Linked DNA regions of Rattus norvegicus. The protein of the gene in region 1 interacts with the protein of each later gene in a biochemical or structural test. Links are inferred from orthologs where the notes say so. Each region holds a gene or a part of one and is shown in the gene's direction. Other genes may lie near its edges.

The links.
Region 2: the proteins of Gprasp1 (region 1) and Oprd1 form a complex in vitro, tested with the Homo sapiens proteins (2 studies listed by BioGRID and IntAct). The link is inferred for Rattus norvegicus from reciprocal best matches to the Homo sapiens genes GPRASP1 and OPRD1.

Annotation. Positions count from the first base shown.
Region 1 is NC_086039.1:103,555,220-103,559,131, forward strand, and holds the start of Gprasp1 (G-protein coupled receptor-associated sorting protein 1), read left to right. Parts: upstream 1-1,273; 5' UTR 1,274-1,488; intron 1,489-1,926; exon of another isoform or gene 1,927-2,189; intron 2,190-2,701; 5' UTR 2,702-2,764; exon of another isoform or gene 2,765-2,768; intron 2,769-2,924; 5' UTR 2,925-3,000; intron 3,001-3,146; 5' UTR 3,147-3,218; intron 3,219-3,379; 5' UTR 3,380-3,456; intron 3,457-3,613; 5' UTR 3,614-3,684; intron 3,685-3,912. UniProt on the Homo sapiens protein: Modulates lysosomal sorting and functional down-regulation of a variety of G-protein coupled receptors. Targets receptors for degradation in lysosomes via its interaction with BECN2.
Region 2 is NC_086023.1:149,590,302-149,594,213, reverse strand, and holds part of Oprd1 (delta-type opioid receptor), read left to right. Parts: intron 1-3,235; coding exon 3,236-3,777; 3' UTR 3,778-3,912. UniProt on the Homo sapiens protein: G-protein coupled receptor that functions as a receptor for endogenous enkephalins and for a subset of other opioids.

The DNA of each region.
Region 1 (3,912 bases):
TATAGTTTCTTCACACTGCCTGCATTCCATGAGCCCTAGATTCTTTCCATCTTGGAGGCCAGCAGTGTCCAATCTGGTTTGGTTTTGTTTTACCAATGCTGCTTTCCTGACATGCACATTCTTCTGCCTCAGCCTGTCATACCTAAGTACCTTTGCAGTCACAATGACTGGATGGATCCAGGATGACTGTATGCAGAATGCCACTATTAACAACCTGCACTTCCGCCTCAAATCTCAATATTCCTTGGCCAGATAACATCTTTACATATCATGGGTTGTTATTCTGTGAAACACTGGGTAGGTGCTTAAATAAATCTCTAAATGGGCAATGCCAGCAGCTTTTAGTTTGTGCTTAATGCCACTCTTTTTTTTCCCCCAGAAAGGTATTGCTACTTAGAATCAATCAATCTCTCTCTCTCTCTCTCTCTCTCTCTCTCTCTCTCTCTCTCTCTCACACACACACACACACACACACACACACACACACACACACGGGGTGGGGGGTGGGGGGGCAGGCACACACACCCCAACCACCACCATTACCATACACACACCACACCCCCCCCACACACACACACATTCTGTGGCACAAAGAATTGATTGTTGGCCCAAACCTGTGGTTGATTTACTAGGCCACAAGGTGTAGTTTGGTCTCCCTCATGGAAGAGGGGCAGTGGTGAGGGATGTAATGGAGGCCCCACTTTGGATTCCATGGAGACAGAAGTGCCCTCCCTTCATGGTTGCATGAATCAGTGAAAGAAAACATGGGAGAATCAACAGGAACCTACTGGATGGCTGTTGCTAGGTCACCTGTCCCCTCTCAGGCTGCAGTACTGGCAGCCCCCCTCCCCTTCCATTGGCGTCAGAGGAGGAGGCAGAGGAGGGGGAAAGCAAAGAGGGAGTACAGGGAGGGGCAGGCACTGTCCAGCCTCGTTCTGAAATACAGATGTACGAAGGTTCCCACTCAGTATCCATCCGCTGCTCCCTCCTGCTCCCCAACTGCAGACCTCCTCCTCCTTGTAGTCCCCCCTCTCCAAAGCCCTCATACACTCTACATTTAAGCCATCTCACACACTGTGAGTGTGGCTCCAAAAATATTTTTAAAAGTGGTGGTGGTCTCTGGTTAGGGTGAACAGGGGTCTGCAGACGCCCACTGGTACAACCCTCCCCTCCAAGAGGAGTGGGACTGTCTGTGGCCCCGCCCACTCCGAGTCGGAACTACAGTGGGTCCGGGAGGGGGCGTCGAGCCCTGTGCGCAGTATCCCTCCGCCCCCTTCCCGACACCCTCCAGGAGAGCTGTGCTTGCCGCAGTCTGCGCAGCCCCTGCCCGTTTGGTGCAGAGGCGTGGGGGCAGGACACAGCTCTGCCATTCCACTCGCGCTCAAAGCAGTGAAAGCCCAGTGAAAGGATCTGCGGAGGACAGAGAACAGCCGGGAGCAGGAGAGGGACGCGGGGGAGCCCGGGGACCTGGGCTGTGCCCCTGGCCAGGCAAGTGGGGGTGTGTCATGGGCTCCAGGCTGTCGCGCATTGCGGACAGCTGCCTGGCCCTGACAGTCCAGTGGAGGCAAACAGGTCACAGCTGCTCCCTGGAGTGTGTGCTGTGCCTGTAGACCCAAGGCGGTGGGCAGAAGGAGGCGGGAACCCCTGCAGAGACCCGGGCACAAGGGAAGGATGGAGCTGCTGGGTGTGATGGTCTGGAGGTTGGCATAGCCGACCGCCTGGCAGTTGACTTTCCTGGCACCAATACCCCGCCCTCGACAATGTCTGGGCCCTGTGAGGGTTATACGGTAGGCAGCTGCTGTTGAAATGACGATGAGAGAGTGGGGGGGAGGGAGATCAGGGAGCCCACAGGTCCCAGGAAGGCAGCTGCAAAAGAAATGGCCGGCCATGCTGGAGTGGGGGGGGGGAGGGGATGAAGCCCACAGGTGTGGGTGTGGGGCAGGTGTCCAGCACTGGCGACAGCGCTGGGTTGTGAGTCGCCTTGGCTACTAGGGCTCTGATCTAGTTGCTGAGAGGGGCCCCGGTGCCCTGCGCCCTGGGTGCTGTCACTCCCCACAGGATCCTGCTTGATGGAAAGTGTCCTGTCTGCGCGGTAGGTCTGGCATATTCTGACAGGCCACAGTGAGTGAGCATCTGTACACCAGAGGCTTGAGAAAAGAGGAACAGGAAAATGGCGTGGATTTCTGGAGGTGTGTGGTAATGGGAGTGGGCACCAGACAGTGAGTGGAGATGCAAAAAGGGTGGGGGTGACTGGCCAGAACAGGTGGGAATAAGTGTCTCCTAATCTCGTTTCTCACAGCCTTGCAGGTACCTTCTACACTGCCTTTCCCCTCCCTCCCAAATCTGGGGTCTGAAAAGATGGGGTGGGGATGATGACGGAGTCATAAATCCAAGGACCACTTCAGAACCTGCTTTCTAGAATGTACTGCGCCCTTCCCCCATTTTTTGCTGCGCAAGGCAAGGAAACATGGCCACCTAGTGGCGAGTCTTCAGAATTGCAGAAGGGACTAATAAGGATGACATCAAGGAGTGGGTGTTACCTCAGGAACCCTGCAGCCAGGCTAAATCCAGAATGTTCCAGCAGTAGGACCCTAAATGCTAAAAGACACTTGATCTGGTTCTGATCCTTGGTGGCATTTTCAACAAGATCAGCTGCTGCCATCATCTCCTGATTGTCATACATTTTCATGTCTATCCACAGCCCTGCTTTAAGGCTGCAAGCAAGGAAAGAAGGCTTCTAGGCGACTGTCTCAGATCTCTGGAGGTTGGTGAGACTCAGGGGCAGTGCAGGAGCCAGCCACTGAGGAGGCAAATCCAAATTGCTCTAACCCAAGGGGGTGCATGTTGCCTTACTGTCCCCTTAATTTGCCCACAGCTGCTACCACCATTTTCTGATTGTCATACATTTTCATGTCTGTCCACAGGTCTGCTTTAAGGCTGGTTTTTCTGCAATCAAGGAAAGAAGGTTTCAAGGCGACTGTCTCAGATCTCTGGAAGTTGGTGAGACTCAGGGGTAGTGCAGGAGCCAGCCACTGAGAAGGCACATTCGTTTTGCTCTAACCAAATTCAGATCACTGTCCCCTTAATTTGCCCACAGCTGCTGCCACCATTTTCTGACTGTCATACATTTTCGTGTCTGTCCACAGGTCTGCTTTAAGGCTGGTCAGTTCTTCAATCAAGAAAAAAAGGCTTCAGGGTGACTGTCTCAGATCTTGGAGGTTGGTGAGACTCAGGGGTAGTGCAGGAGCCAGCCACTGAGGAGACAAATTCAGATTGCGCTAACCCAAGAGGGTGCATGGTGTCTTTACTGCCCCCTTAATTTGCCCACAGCTACTGCCACCATTTTCTGCTTGCCTTACATTTTCATGTCTGTCCACAGGTCTGCTTTAAGGCTGGTCAGTTCTTCAATCAAGGAAAGAAGGTTTCAAGGCAACTGTCTCAGATCTCTGGAAGTTGGTGAGACTCAGGGGTAGTGCAGGAGCCAGCCACTGAGGAGACAAATTCAGATTGCGCTAACCCAAGAGGGTGCAGGATGTCTTTACTGTCCCCTTACTTTGCCCACAGCTGCTGCCACCATTTTCTGATTGCATTACATTTTCATGTCTGTCCACAGGTCTGCCCTAAGGCTGGTTTTTCTGCAAGCAAGGAAAGAAGGCTTCAGGGCGACTGTCTCAGATCTTGGAGGTTGGTGACACTCAGGGGTAGTACAAGAGCCAGCCACTGAGAAGGCACATTCATTTTGCTCTAACCAAATTCAGATCACTGTCCCCTTAATTTGCCCAGTAGTATAGCATGCTCTATTTCCTCTCAGGGATACTAAGAATGTTGAGGTAGGTGTGAGTTAGCCTATGACCCAGTACAACAGCTCACTGCTGGGACCAGGGAATAGACGCTTTAGACACAAACAGGCAT
Region 2 (3,912 bases), on another chromosome or scaffold:
TTATCCCACTTTGAAAACCACTGGAGGGGCTGGAGAGATGGTCCAGTGGTTAAGAGCACTGACTGCTCTTCCTGAGGATGTAATTATGCTGGCAGAGTGCTTACCCCACATGCACAGAGCCCTGGGATCCCGTCCCCAGCCCTTCATGAATCAGGTGTGGTACTGCACACCTACAAGCCCGGCAAGGGGATTGGGAGTTCAGGGCTGGCTTTAGTTTGATAATGAGTTCGAGGCCATGAAACCAGGCCTCAAAAACAAAAAAAGGGGGGGCTGGAAACATGGCTCAGTGGTTAAGAGCACTGACTCCTCTTCCAGGGGTCCTGAGTTCAATTCCCAGCAACCACATGGTGGCTCACAACCATCTGTAGTGAGATCTGATGCCCTCTTCTGGTGTGTCTGAAGACAGTGACATGCATAAAATAAATACATCTTTTAAAACAAACAAACAAACAAAGACAAATAAGGAGAAAAAATTAGCATTGGCTAAATGACCAAAAAATGAGGCCCAGAAAATGGCCCGAGGGAAGTGGCAAACAATTAACATTTCCCAGGGCATCTTTATTAGTCACTAACGCTGCTATGTCAAACATCCTCAAGTTCAGGGGCTTAAAACAGAAGTTTGTGTCTCCTTCCACTACAGTCTATTGGGGAGGAGGATAGTTTGGGGGTAGCGGGTTCCCAGAGGAGGTATCTGGCCAGCACATAAATACAGAAAAGAAGTTGGGGGCTGGAGAGACGGGTCAGTGGTTAAAGAGCACCCGACTGCTCTTCCAGAGGTCCTGAGTTCAATTCCCTGCAACCACATGGTGGCTCACAACCATCTGTAATGAGATCTGATGCCCTCTTCTGGTGTGTCTGAAGACAGCTACAGTGTACTTATATATAATAAATGAATAAATCTTTAAAAAAAAGAAGTTGGGGAAATCATAACCATTTTCAATGTTAGTGCTCATCCCTTCCCAGTGTCAACTGTTCCCATGGCCCCCACCTTGATGTAAAGACGTGTGGGAGGGTATCTATGCTATAGTAACCAACCTGCGAGCCACACCACCTCATAAACAAGGGAGGACTCCCCTCCCCCTCTCTCTTTCTCTCTCTCCAGACCTTATCAGAAAGAAAGCCTCACTAGCAGGCATTGGAACTTGGCCTTCCACCCAAGGCTCCTGCCCTTAGGGGTGGTCTCTCCTCCCTTTTGACCCCTGGGTAGAAGTCTGTAGAGGCTTGAAAGGAAGGGGGAGATGATTGGGTGGTAGGAGACCTCTTAGACACCTTGACCCTCAAGGGCAGAACCCTGGGGCCATTACACAGCCTTTGAGTGTTTGGTTTTGCCTGAGCAACGGGCTCCATAGCTCACCATCAGCCTTGGGTTTAGGAGTCATTAACTGTTGGGAGCTGAGTCAAGTGGGCCTCCTCCTCCCTCCTCCCTCCTCCCTCCCCCTCCCCCTCCCCCTCTCCTCCCTCCTTCCTCCTCCCTCCCCCTTCCCCTCTCCTCCCTCCTCCCTCTTTCCCCCCTCATCCCTCCTCCCTCCCCCTCCCCCTCTCCTCCCTCCTCCCTCCCCCTTCCCCTCTCCTCCCTCCTCCCTCTTTCCCCCCTCATCCCTCCTCCCTCCCCCTCCCCCTCTCCTCCCTCCTCCCTCCTCCCTCCCCCTCCCCCTCTCCTCCCTCTTCCCTCCTCCCTCCCTCCTCCCTCCTCCCTCCTTCCTCTTTCCTCCTCCCTCCTCCCTCTCTGGGCACCACCACCCATAAGCACACTGATCCTCAATCATCCCCAGAGTCCTCCCAGGATGAACTACCCTAGATGCTTTGTGGCTCTCCAGCCCCTTTCTCATGACTCGCAAGCTGCAAGTCTACTGTGCATCTCCTGGAGATCTTGAGCATCCCTGGGGCAGCTTCCAGCCTGCATCAGACCTGCCAGGTCCTCTGAGATACTCATCTAGTCCAAGCCTGTTCTCCAGGACAGGAAGCTCCTCTTCCTTTTCCTACAGGGTTGGCTATTGGGAAGGGCTTTGATGTTTTAGTTTACTCTTGGATATAGTCTCCATGTAATTTTGTCTAGTCTTACACTTGAGAGCCTCCTACCTCAGTCTCCTGAATGGTGGGCTTATAGATGTGTGCTATGTCACCTGGTATGAAGTTGTTCTTTACATTCGCTGTTACCTGCCTGAGATGCAGGCCCTAGCACTGACCTCTGGGCTCCAATTTCCTCTGAGTGCATCAACTGTTTGAGCCCCACTGACCTACATACCTTATATATTTGCGTCTATTTCACAGCTGTCTTAAGAAATGTCCTTGGGACAGGTAGGGCTGGCTAGATGGCTCAGAGGTGCTTGCCACCAAGCCTGACAGTCTTGAGTTTGATCCCTGGAACAGGAACGGTGGGAGGAAAGAATGAACAACTGTGTATTGTCCTTTAACTTTCACATGTATGATACACACACACACACACACACACACACACACACACACACACTGACACTCACTGGACAAATAAATCTAAATGTAACTACAGGAATGTGGATAGACTATTAGCCCCACCATAAGGAAATTTGAAGACAGTGAGTAATTTGCCCAAGGCCACACATACTTGGGATGGAGTCAGACTTCCTTCTCTTCCTCTTCTTCTTTTTTTTTTAAATTTATTTTATTTATTATATATAAGTACGCTGTAGCTGTCTTCAGACACACCAGAAGAGGGCATCAGATCCCATTACAGATGGTTGTGAGCCACCATGTGGTTGCTGGGACTTGAACTCTCTTATAGCCCAGGCTAACCTAGAAGTTAATGTAGTCAGAGATGACCTTGAACTCCTGCTCCTCTTCACCTCCGTCTCCCAAGTGCTCGGGTGACACACGTGCCACCAGGCCCAAGTTAGTGCGGTGCTGGGAATTGAACCAGGGACACTCTAGCACCTGAATTATATCGCCAGCCCTAACCCACTGTTTAAATCAACCTTCAGTCTTGTTCAATCCACTGGATCAATTCCTGGGCCTGGACAAAGTATTAGTTATGGACATAAGGGCTTACATAGGACCTGGGAGAGGACACAGAAGGGACCTCCCAGATAATCAATTCTGGGGTCTTTAAGCATAAGAAGGAATTCACCAAGTAAAAGGACATACTAGACCTCAGAATCTCCTCGACCCAGCTAGTGATTTTGAAAGGGGGCAAGCAGACGGCGCCCCTTAGGCACACAGACCTCTGACCCGTGTCTTTTCCTTGTTTCCCCGGACTCAGATGGAGCAGTGGTATGCACGCTCCAGTTCCCCAGCCCCAGCTGGTACTGGGACACTGTGACCAAGATCTGCGTGTTCCTCTTCGCCTTCGTGGTGCCCATTCTCATCATCACCGTGTGCTATGGCCTCATGCTGCTGCGCCTGCGCAGCGTGCGCCTGCTGTCCGGCTCCAAGGAGAAGGACCGCAGCCTGCGGCGCATCACGCGCATGGTGCTGGTGGTGGTGGGAGCCTTCGTGGTGTGCTGGGCGCCCATCCACATCTTCGTCATCGTCTGGACGCTGGTGGACATCAATCGGCGCGACCCACTTGTGGTGGCCGCGCTGCACTTGTGCATTGCGCTGGGCTACGCCAACAGCAGCCTCAACCCGGTTCTCTACGCCTTCCTGGACGAGAACTTCAAGCGCTGCTTCCGCCAGCTCTGTCGCGCGCCCTGCGGCGGCCAAGAACCCGGCAGCCTCCGCCGTCCCCGCCAGGCCACCGCGCGTGAGCGTGTCACCGCCTGCACCCCCTCCGACGGCCCGGGCGGTGGCGCTGCCGCCTGACCTACCCGGCCCTCTGCTTAAACGCCCCTCCCAAGTGAAGTGATGCAGTGGCCACACCGAGCTCCCTGGGAGGCCATGGCCACCATTGGGACAGCTAGAATAGGGCCCACACGGGGGGGGGGGGGCTCCCATGAG